Linked DNA regions of Alligator mississippiensis. The protein of the gene in region 1 interacts with the protein of each later gene in a pairwise test. Links are inferred from orthologs where the notes say so. Each region holds a gene or a part of one and is shown in the gene's direction. Other genes may lie near its edges. The genes, in order: C6H1orf94, BANP and RAD51D.

Evidence for each region.
Region 2: the proteins of C6H1orf94 (region 1) and BANP interact in binary tests that used the Homo sapiens proteins (3 or more experiments, as listed by UniProt). The two-hybrid records come from large-scale screens. The link is inferred for Alligator mississippiensis from reciprocal best matches to the Homo sapiens genes C1orf94 and BANP.
Region 3: the proteins of C6H1orf94 (region 1) and RAD51D interact in binary tests that used the Homo sapiens proteins (3 or more experiments, as listed by UniProt). The two-hybrid records come from large-scale screens. The link is inferred for Alligator mississippiensis from reciprocal best matches to the Homo sapiens genes C1orf94 and RAD51D.

Annotation. Positions count from the first base shown.
Region 1 is NC_081829.1:7,532,241-7,535,987, forward strand, and holds the start of C6H1orf94 (uncharacterized protein C1orf94 homolog), read left to right. Parts: upstream 1-1,417; 5' UTR 1,418-1,479; coding exon 1,480-1,724; intron 1,725-3,747.
Region 2 is NC_081833.1:74,478,779-74,482,525, forward strand, and holds the start of BANP (protein BANP), read left to right. Parts: upstream 1-725; 5' UTR 726-832; intron 833-3,747. UniProt on the Homo sapiens protein: Controls V(D)J recombination during T-cell development by repressing T-cell receptor (TCR) beta enhancer function. Binds to scaffold/matrix attachment region beta (S/MARbeta), an ATC-rich DNA sequence located upstream of the TCR beta enhancer.
Region 3 is NC_081837.1:26,422,964-26,426,710, reverse strand, and holds the start of RAD51D (DNA repair protein RAD51 homolog 4), read left to right. Parts: upstream 1-1,491; 5' UTR 1,492-1,568; intron 1,569-1,800; exon of another isoform or gene 1,801-1,904; intron 1,905-1,975; exon of another isoform or gene 1,976-2,322; intron 2,323-2,420; 5' UTR 2,421-2,489; coding exon 2,490-2,571; intron 2,572-3,747. Other genes in the region: UNC45B (protein unc-45 homolog B), read right to left, coding at 1,140-1,226. UniProt on the Homo sapiens protein: Involved in the homologous recombination repair (HRR) pathway of double-stranded DNA breaks arising during DNA replication or induced by DNA-damaging agents. Bind to single-stranded DNA (ssDNA) and has DNA-dependent ATPase activity.

The DNA of each region.
Region 1 (3,747 bases):
AGGATTTTCTCTTCTGTTGTGCTCCAGGCACCAAAGGGTGACATCACTCAAACATCCGAGCTAGTAAAGGGCAAAAATGGCTAGTGCATGAAGGCAGCATATTACTAAAATAGAAAGTGATGTTCCAGTATCTTGTGTTTGTAAATGGCTAGTGCCTGGTGCTGCATAGGAAAAGTGTTAAAAAGAAACAAAGCAAATATTCATCAATGCTGACAAGCTCCAAAATGTCATAGCTCAGACCCATCCATGAGAACCAAAGGACACTCTATTGGTCACACCATAATAAACGCTTGAGTTCCCAGCAACATCTTCCCTGAATTTCGAGGCAAGTGGAAGGGGAAATAGATGCCCCACGTTCCCCCGCCATACCATTAGCCGCATCCACGGAGGGGAAGTTGTAGAAAGACGCACAGTTCTGCAAGGAGCCAGTCTATCTTGTGGAAATGCATCAACCTAAACAGCAGGAGCCATGTGCAGTAAACCCATTTTAACTTGTATACATCTCCAGCTCCGCTGGAAACGCCAAGAAAAAAAAAGAATCGGAGCTAGTTCTTTTGCACAGTCCAGGACAGTGGGAGAGATGCTCCACTCCTGGCTCCAAGCATGCAAAAGACTCAATGAAGACAAGGGAAAGGATGCCTTGGACCGGTTTGTAGCGATGGTAAGAGAAAATGGCAGGAACAGCTAGTGATATTATGCTAGCACTTGAGTCCTGGTCCCAGACAAATCAGAAGAATCCAAAAAAATCGCCAAAACAGACAAACAGCTGGATGGGGAAGAGGAGCAGTAAAGAGGGTTACATTGGCTGTCTAAGCTCAAATAGCAACCAAGCCAAGCGCAGAGCGTAGGTTGGACTTCATGCCAAAGGGCTCTCCACTGGACCCCACTGTTTGCTAGGACCTGGCGCAATCCAGGGCTTAGAGGTTAGTGAGGAGCACCAGGGAGACGCACTGCTCCCCCCACAGAGATCAAGGCACTACAGGACATCCATACCTCCTGCCTTTGTCTCTTCTAGCATCCCCTGCATGCCCACCCCACCTCTTTGCTTCAGCCTATACTGCCGAGGATAAGAAGGGGACCCAACATAGGCATCTGGGAAGAGACACAAATGTCAAGGGCCACAGGGATGAAGGAGCCCCCTGGGCACCAGGATACAATATGAAATTAATTCAACCTAAGGGAGGAATCAGGGCTGTTTTAAGATGCGGGCTGGCCGAATCTGCAAGACGCCTCGGCGGCTGCTGCTCTCAGTCTTCCTAAAAAGACCTGGCGTTCCCTTTTACGTGTGGTCGGGTGGGTGCTGCTGGGACCTCGACAGCTGCTTCTGGTTGTTATCCTTCATATCCGTTGCCGGGCCCGGGGGTTCTGCGGTTACCGAGCTACCGCGGCTTGTTGCTATTCATTCCGTTCCGTACCCGCAGGAAACCTTTCTTTGAAAAAAAATTGGCCTTCGGTCTCTGGGTGCAAAGAGACGAAGAGATGCCCACAGGTGAAAACGGGCCCCAGGGTCCGACAGTAAGCCCCAAAGGGCCGTTCCCTCTGGGGCCGTTCCCACGGCACATCTGGATCCACCACAACACTCCTCAGGACAGCTTGGACAAAGCTTGCCATGACATCTGGAAGAGGGTTCAAGGTCTCTCCGAAGATCTCCAGCCTACATCACCACTGTTCCTCCAGCCTACCTGCCCCCCAGAGCCGCCAGAGACCCTCAGGGCCTCCCAAGAGTGAGTGATTTCAAATTGCCACCCCCTCTCCAATTCAAATGGCTTCTCCCCCCTCTTATGCTTTGTGGCCCACAGCAGGTTGGGATCCGGCATAAAAATACATGAAATGTTCTTTCAACATGGTTGAGAAGAGAAATTGGGGGGTAGGGGGTGAGGTGTGGGTGGGAGGGGAAGAGGATTGAGAAGGGGTTTATTTTCACAGCCCAAATCACAGAAGCTGAAGAGGATCCTTTTTCTCTATGCAAAATGACGTCCTGTGATGTCTAGCCACATCTAATTCTGAAGCACAGTAAGCAGCTGCTGCATTCAGTTCCCCACAGCAGCTTTAAAAAAAAAAAAATCAAAATATTTACAGGAAGAAGCAAAAGAAGCATTCAAAAGAGCAGAACCGAAAATTAAAGTGTTATAAGGAAACTACTGTAAACAGCTGATCTTTACAAAGAAAAGCTGGATTTGGCAGAAAAAAAATTCTCTGCCAAGTCTCGCTCCAGAGGGTAAGTTGTGGGGAGGAAAGAAGGTACACTCTTTAAATTAAAAAGGACAATATTTATAGTACATTCCTGCAGCAGGAAAAAAAAAAATTGTCAAATTAACAAACCCAGCAATTAATTAGCTCATGTTGGCAACTTCCCAGGTCTTAAACAAAAACACAACATACCAGTAACAGCTGTACAGACCTGGTCCATCTTAATCTGATGCAGTAAATAATTGTTAATACCAGAATTCATGATGCCTCCCAAAGAGGCAAGTTGGTACCACCATCCCCATTTTACAGATAGGGAAACTGAGGAATAAAAGGAAAGTATTTGGATCAATGGCACACAGGGAAGTAGTGGTATATCCAGGACTCGAAGCCAAGAGTCCCAACTTCCGCATCGTTTCCTTCTCTATCCAAAATGCAGTATGGACTTTGTAGACGGTATCGCACATTGAGTCACCGTTCTCCTTTAGCATCTGCTGAAGTCAATTGAGTCACACCAGCACATAGATGACATGACAGAACTGGGCCCAGACATCTTTATGGACATGTGAAACATGTACATCTCAATAATGCACTCCTGGAAGATGCTCCATTAGTATGGGCAGTACAAGACCCTACATGCAATTATGAAATATTCATCTGAATTTTAATGAAAAACCCCATTTTTAAGAAATGAAATGATTTTTAGAAGAAACATACTTTTGAGTTTTATAATTGATGTAGCAGGTACAGCAAGTGCAGCCAGCTTTCGTAATTCCTTGCCCACGCGCTACGCAGTTGCACCGAATTTGTCACACTTAGGGAGGAGACAGGAGGATACCGCAATACTCTTCCTTTTGCATTTGCAATCTCGGGCTGTCCAGAGGGTACAGCGTATGATGGGAGATGCCTAGGAACAGGGGTGACCCATCACATTCATTTTCTATCCATTAAAAAAAAAAAGAAAGAAAGAAAAGAAAAGTGGGGTCCAGTAAATGGGGTACCAGCCTTGGTCCCATAGGATTTGTATTCTACTCATACTTCTATCACTGACTTGTTGGGCAACGTTCAGCAAGTCATTTCTGTTCTTGTCTATCTGACTGTAAGCTCTTTGGGGCAGGGCTGGTCTTGTTCTATGTCTGTACAGCTCCTAGCATACAGAAGCTTCATTACAAACAGCCAACTGGTCTTTCAAGTACCTAATTTACTCGAATATGATCCCCCCAATAATAATTTTCCAGGTATAGAAACTAATTATTGAAGATGCGACTTGAATTTGTCCACCTCCTACTGCAAGAGCAGGGAAAATAAGTGTGTGTGTGTGTGTGTCTATAAAGTGCCCCCTTGCCCTCTGCCCCCCAAATTCTTCCCCCTGAAACCCCTTACCATCAGACACTGCTCTCTCTAAACACATGCAAAAGTGAGAGGCAAATCTGAAAATGCTAACCTTGATATCAATTTGCATATAGGCAGATGACTATAGATTCTCATACCCATAGACTTAGTTCATCCAGAATATATGCATTTGGCCTGTCTGGAAACTGCTGCAAGTTTTAGCACAGA
Region 2 (3,747 bases), on another chromosome or scaffold:
ACACTAATGTCTTTCTATTGTAAATAGCAATCATATTGATTTGGAAGGACTTCTTTGAGGTGACTTTGCTGGACTTTTTGAAGGGCTCTTGGTTGGACTTTTTGAAGGGTTTTTGGCTGTGATGCACTATTTGCAGATTTATCCCTTAGGTTGGTCATCTTGCGAAACGTCTGAAGTCGAGGACTGCTTGTATATTTGTCATTCAAAAAAAAAATCTGGATGATGCAGAACTCGCAGATTTATCCCTTAGACTGGTCGTCTCGTGAATGTCTGAAATCAAGTACAGACAAGGTTCCTTGGATGAATTTGATGTCTTTTATTAGACCAACCCAAATGGTTGGAGAATAGTTATTAAGCAAGCTTGTCTGCCTATGTCCTTAGACCAACACAGCTACAACCTAAACCCCTGAAATCAAGTATTGCTTGTATATTTGTCATTCAAAAAAAAAATCTGGATGATGCAGAACTTGCAGATATATCCCTTAGGCTGGTGTATAGGGCTAGGCATCGGATCAGGTCACTGAGGCTGCAGGAACTACAGGGCTGCCCTTCGGACTACAGCGCCCAGCATGCCCCGCGCCCCGCCCGAGGACTACACGTCCCAGCCGTACAACCCAAGAGGCGGCGCGCGCGGCCCTCTGGGACTTGTAGTCACTGGGACGATGAAGGGCGGCTGCCGGGAAGCGGCGGCAACGCGCCTGCGCGGCCTCTCGGGGAGGGGGAGCGGGTGGCGGCGGCGCATGCGCGCTGGCGCGGCGGAGATCTCTCGCGAGGAAGGACGCCATTATCGCAGCCGCTCGACAAACACCACGAGAATTCGGCCCCGCACACGGTAACCGCGGCCCCCGCGGCCGCCGGCTCGGGCTGGGCTCCCCGGGGGCCGCCCTCCGCCCGGCCCGCCGCTCCCCGCCTCCACCCGCCGCCTCCGGGAGGGCCCGCGGCGGGGGAGGGGCGGCTGCCTCACAACCCCCCCCATGCAGGCGGGGGGAGGGGCGGGGCGGACCATTCCCCCCTCCCCCCCGCCTCCGGCCCGCTGGGCCTGCGCCTGGGCCTGGGCTTTCCTCGGGGGGGGGCCTTCACTGGGCGACGTGGGGGGGGGGCGCTCTTCTCTACCGCCTGGCGGGCTTTACAATTATTTTTGGTGCTTGGTCAGCAATTTTTGTGTCCCCCCCCCCCCCCCCCATTATAAATATGTAAAGTTATATTTTAAAATTATTTTTGGTGCTTGGTCAGCAATTTTTGTCTCCCCCCCCCCTTTATAAATATGTAAAGTTATATATTATATCTCCCACCCCCCCCTTTATAAATATGTAAAGTTATATATTATATCTTTATAAAGGGGGTGGGGGTGTAAAGATGTAAAGTTATATATTTATACATCATCTCTTTATAAAGAGGGAGCTGTAAGGAGGGGGTGGGGGTCGGACAAATGGGCTGAGGTGCCCCCCCCCGCCCCGGTCCCTGCACTGAGCCACCCGGATACATGCCCGTCCCCCCCAACTTTGAAGTGTCGTTGGACTCTTGAAGTGCTTTTTTTTTTTTTTTTTTTTTCTCTCTGTGATGTGGTCAAAACGAGCAGGTTTCTCATCAAAGCCGTGTCCTTCTGTTAGTGGTGGGGAGGCGAGAGCGGGGGGGTCTAATTTGCCTGGGTGTGTTTTCATTTTTTGTATCCTTAAGGGAGGGTTTTCGCAGGAGTAGGTTTTAAATCCTTGTAAATTTCATTTTTTTGAAAGCTGTGTGTTTGTTTGTGTGTGCATGTGCGTGCGTGTCCTGTCTCTCCCCCCAGTGACAGGTCCTGTTGAGAAGTGTTTTTGTTTGGTTATTCCTGGGGGGGAAGTACAGCATTTTGTTTGCTTATTTTGTCTGCAGTTTGTTACTTCTTTAGTTCTACAGTTTACTGAGTTTAACGTGTGTGTGTGTGTGTGTGTGTGTGTGTGTGTGTGTGTGTGTGTGTGTGTGTGTGTGTGTGTGTGTGTGTGTGTAGATATCTACTTGGATATCTATCTACATCTGCCTAGACATCTACTTTCATCCACTTGGATATCTGCTTAGACACCTTCACCCGCTTGGATACTGCTTAGACATCTACCTAGACATCCACTTAGACGTCTACCTAGAGATCTATAGAGAGAGTGAGCTAGATAGGTAGGTATCTATATTTTTATAGTTTCATAGTAGCTAGAGTCAGGAGGGACCTGAACAGATCATCTGGCCTGACCCCCTGCCACAGGCAGGAATGAATGCTGGGTTCACAAGACCCCAGACAGGTGATCGTCCAACCTCCTCTTGAATTTGCCCAAGGTAGGGGCGAGGACCACTTCCCTGGGAAGTTGGTTCCAGATTTTGGCCACACTAACTGTAAAATATTGCCTTCTGATCTCTACCCTAATCCTATTCTCCATCAGCTTATGACCATTGTTCCTCGTCACCCCAGGTGGTGCTGGGGAGAAAAGGACTCTGCCTATTTGCTGTTGATCCCCCCTGATGAGCTTGTAGGCAGCCACTAGGTGCCCCCTCAGCCTCTTCCTGCTGAGGCTGAACAGGTTCAGGTCCCTCAGTCTCTCCTCCTCGTAGGGCCTGTCCTGCTGCCCTCTCACCAAGTGGGTGGCCCTCCTCTGAACCCTCTCCAGGCTGGCCACATCCCTTTTGAAGTGCAAATATATATATATTAATTTCCCATATTTCTGTTAGTCTCATATGCAGTAAAGCGGGGAGGGTGGGGAGAGAAACATTTGCTGTGTAAAATGCCCTGTGCAATCACAAATCTATCAATGGGTGCATGTATAGTAATTGAGATTATCTTTAAGCCCTGAATGCTTGTGTTTTCAGTTGCGTACTTTTAATAGTTTCTGTTCACACCATGAATTTATTTCACTGCATATTAAATGAATGTCCTGTAAAATATAACAGAATGAACAATTCTTAATTGGTCCTGAGACGTTGCAGTGAACTTCCGTAAGGATGCCAGGCCTTGCCTTGGCCAGAAGCTCAGACTTGGGTAATATGCCGAGCTGCACGTCAAGAAGAATGACATGATAAATGTTTAGGGCAGTTAAAAGATTGAATCCAGTTTTGATGAATGGGAACATCCTTTTTGTTTCCAGGAGTGGGCATAATTTTTGGCTGTTTGTCCTGATTTCTGATTTATAATAACAGTAACAGCCTTTTAATGTCTGGATCCAGCAATGTTTATCAGGTGGCTGCAATGCAGACCTAAAATGTTAAGGTTCCTTAAACGAGTAATACTATTATTAACACTCAGTGCTACAGAAATCCAATGGATGCTAATTCACTGTCTGAGATGTTTAGCACCAGTATTCCACCAGTTTATATTCTGCTAAATTATTTTTTAATTTATTTTTTAAAATAATTTTAATTATTTTATCCCAACGCATGTTTCATGGACATCAGTAACGTGTTTCTGAAGCATACAAGGTGTGTGTGTGGGGAGGGTATGTATGTACATGCACACATACCAAAAAGGCATCCTGTCGATGTTCTGATTCTGCCATGATCACTTAGTATGCTTCAACTATCTAAGTCACATTTGCAGTGACTTGTATTGGCATCATGTAGGTTGTCTGTAGCCCTTATTATAATAATCATTTTCTCCAAACTTTTCAAGCTGAGTAACACTTGCCCATGAAAAATGAGGTGGAATCACAGAACATCTGCATTTTCTTTTTATCAGCATTTCCATGGTCTCGTATTTTTAACTGAAGTAGAAATTAGGTTTGGAATCCCTGC
Region 3 (3,747 bases), on another chromosome or scaffold:
TTAGGGGCTGTGGGGCAGGGCTGGGGGCTGAGGGAACAAGGGGTGCTGCCAGCCCCAGCCGGCACATTGCGGTGGCGCAGGGTGCTGGTGGCTGCATGCCGCATGGCCACCACCATGCTGTTGCTGCCACCTGGCGGCTGGCTGCACAGCTCCAGGCACAGCACCGCAGCGGCAGTGGGAGGTTTTGGAGGCAGGGGCTGTCACCACCATCACGGACCTCCAGGTAAGTGGCAGTGGCGGCCGCGTGCAAGCCCAAGTTCCTGCTGTGGTTGCAGAATCGGCCATGGAGCTGTGCTCTGGCCGAATGCCAGCCTCCCTCTTCTCCTCCCCCAGGCAGCATGTGTGTAGCCTGCATATGGCAGGTACCACCACACCATGCCTCATGTCACTTGCCCGCAACGCCTCCCTGCAGAGGGGCACCCCTGCCCTCACCCCCTGGCCCTGCTCCCAGCTGCAAAGTGCCGCCTGGGGCCGGCAGCACCCCCTTCTCTCAGCCCCCAACCATCTTCCCAGTCCTGCCTCACAGCCCCACTTACCTCCATGCTCCAGGGGTGAAGGGCGAGTCTGAGTCAGATCCGCAGCCTGGCCTTGGCTGCTTCAGAGGCTCAGGTCCTGCCCTCCCCCCTCTCCTTCCCCTCCAGCCAAGGCTGGGGGTTTCCCACCCTTTTTGCAAATCAACTCTTGCAGGCTGGAGCTGTGCCACCCTGCAAGAGCTCTTTGCAAAATTGGATTTCTCTGCTAAAAAGAGAAATCTGCGTTTTCTCTGATAAAAACGGAATCTGTGGTTTTCTCTGTTTTTCCATGGGAAACAGAAAACCTGGATCCCTGCTCATCACCCGCTAGGGAAGGAGAATCTGCCAGGAGAAGGGGTTGATTAGAGATGTATCCCATCTGGGAGCAGAGCTGGCTTTCCACACCCCCTAGTTCTTTTGCTGAGCCTTGGAAACTGGTGCTTTTAAGTCGGAGACCAAGTTCAGTTCTATTTCCAATCATTGATGTTTCTGCAGCTTCCTTGTTACACAACCTTTGCTCTAGGATCTGAAGGAAGGTGTTCATGAGTTGTATATATGCTTGTTTCTAATATAATCCACTGGGTCCTAGTTTTAATAAACAAAAAGCTGTGAAAGGCTTTTTTTTACCCTCTTGTTGATGCCCAGCAAGGAGGGAACAGACTCCAGTTCTGATTTTATGCATGTGGTTATTTTTACTTGCATGAGCAGCCTCATGTGAGTCAGTGGAGCAACTCGTGTGACTTGAAACGAGCTCTGTGCAGAGGGACCCTTTGCTTGCTGGGGAATTTGCTGCAGGGTCAATGACTTCAGAGCCGAGCAGTGGAAGGGCGCAAAAACTCCCACCGAAGAAAACAGACTGGTGGCAAAACCAGGAGTTGGGGGAAGCTGTTGATACCTTTCAGTTGTAGGCCACAGTCCTACCACCAGCCAGGGGCTCACGGGACTTCACCCACCCGGCTCTGAAGGCAGGATCAGGAGCCTTGTGACTCTGGGGAGAGACTGTGCCAGTAGCAACCGGAACAGGATTAGCAAACGGGAGTAATTCACGTCTTTCAGGTGCTCCGGGGTCGCACGTGCAGGCCTAGTGGAAGCGAGATCCGGGCACGGCCGAGCGGGCAGCGAAAGGACGGGGCAGTGTTTCTCGGGGCTGGGATTTGTGGCGGCCCCCTCTGCAGCCGCCGCGCGGGGGAGCCGGTCGCGGCCCCGGAGCGGGCTGGGCGGAGGCGGAGGCGCAGGCGCAGGAAGTAGGAGGTGCCGCGCGGATGGAGGCGAGCGGTGGGGCCGCGGAGCCGAGCCGGATTTCCCTGCGCGCTGGGCTGGCGGGTGTCTGTGCAGGGCTGACTGGCGTGAAGCGGCCCTGGCTGCGCTGCGCGCCCAGCCCTGCGGAGCGAGGTGAGCGGGGGCTGGCGCTTTGCCCGCAGGCAGCCCGGGCTTTCCGTGGGGTTGCAGTGGCCCGACTGCTGCAGGGGCAGGGGCTTGCGCTCTCCGCTTTTTTTTGTCAGACTTGGCCCAGATGCGATGATATAAAGACGCGGATCGTGGGACTGTGCAGAGCCCTTTCCCCACTTCAGAGTTGGGGGCGAGTGCTGACTTCTCAGGACCCCGGTGCAGGGAAGCCCCAATCCCTGACTGGCACCTGTAGATGCTACTGCAAAGTACACCGCGAATAAGTTCATGTGCGACCACCTGCAGGGGCCAGGAGAGCTAACTAAGCAAGCCTGTAACTAGGCTCCTGGACCAGGCTCTGAGAGGGACTCTTCAATTTGGGGCAGAGTGGCCTGGCAGGCATCTACCGCGGTCGGAGCTCCTGGTGCGGGCCACGTCTTTGTTTCTCAAGGTGGGACAAGGCAAGGCCAGTGGCACCTCCGCGTTGCTGGATACAAACCCCTCCTCTTCTCTTCTGTGCAGGGTGCGTGTCTGCATGGTGTTCAGCCTCCCGTCTCCTGCGCCCTACCCCCCTGGGCACGTGGCAGGGCCATGGTGATGCTGCAGGCAGGACTCTGTCCTGGTCTGACGGCAGAGATGATCCAGCTTCTGAAAGCCAGTGGCATCCGAACAGGTAAAAGGCAGCCCAGAGTCTCAGAGCAGGACTCACCCCCCCCCCAGGGGGGGATGAATTGGGAATGGCAGAGGGCTCTCCCCCTTCCTAGGACCCCTGAGCCTGTTCTGATGGTCTGTGCTGTGGGGCAGCCCCTAGGAAGCTACTCCAGGTCCCAGCATGTTCTGTGCGCCTTGGTGGCTGGCTCAGAGTCTAACATTGCTTTCAAGGGACAGGACAGTGGATGTGGTTCATGCCTCACACAGCAGTAGCGGGGACTATGAAAATCCCCATGCTGTAAAGGCAGCCAGATCTGCCTATCTAATTCCTGACCTTGAACATGTTACTTTAGTACAGGGCTGGGCAATTATTTTGGGAGGAGGGCCGCTTACTGAGTTTTGGCAAGCCATCAAGGGCTGCAAGACAGGCCATCAGGGGCAAATAAATATTTTCTAATTTTTTTTAGGGGCACCATGGGCCGGATAGAATGGCCTGGTGGGCTGCAACCGGCCCACGGGTCACCTTTTGCCCACCCCTGCTTTAGTATTTGGAAGCTTGGCATATCTTGGATATTTGAAGTTATACTTTCTGCTAGGCCATTCCTTCTTGGTGCAGCACCCTCATCCCTGCTGCCATTGGGGAACGGGTAAGGCAGTTGTCCCCAGGGAGCATAATGACACCCGGTTCCACTTCTGATCTCAGCAGGGGTTGGTGGCTCTGAGAAGTGACTGAGGGCCTTGTTACTTGTCAGTTGTAGGTAGCTCCTGGAGCTCTTAACCCCAGCATTGTCCACACGTTAACATGTGAAACTAGTTTTAAGCACCCTTTAAGCAGCACAGCTTAAAAATGGACCACCTCAGCTTAGATTGAGCTCTGATCCATCTTACCCAGGTCACATTACACTTATGTTTAGCCACTCTAGGCTACAGCTTATTGTGAACACTCCCCCACCCCTGGTGGCCTGGATTGGATCCACTGCCCCCCTGGCCCCTCACCCCAGTTGAATCAGCACCCCTGTCCTCTACCAGCCATGATTGGCCTGCTGCCCCCTGGAATGGGTCCGCTGCTCTCCTGCAAGCCAAATCCCCATTCATCCCCCTTGCTGCCTCACAGCTTACTTTTGGCTGCTAGTGCTGCTCCAAGGGAGCAGGCAGTGACCCCCACTGCCAGCCCCTGCCACTGCTATCATTGCTCTCT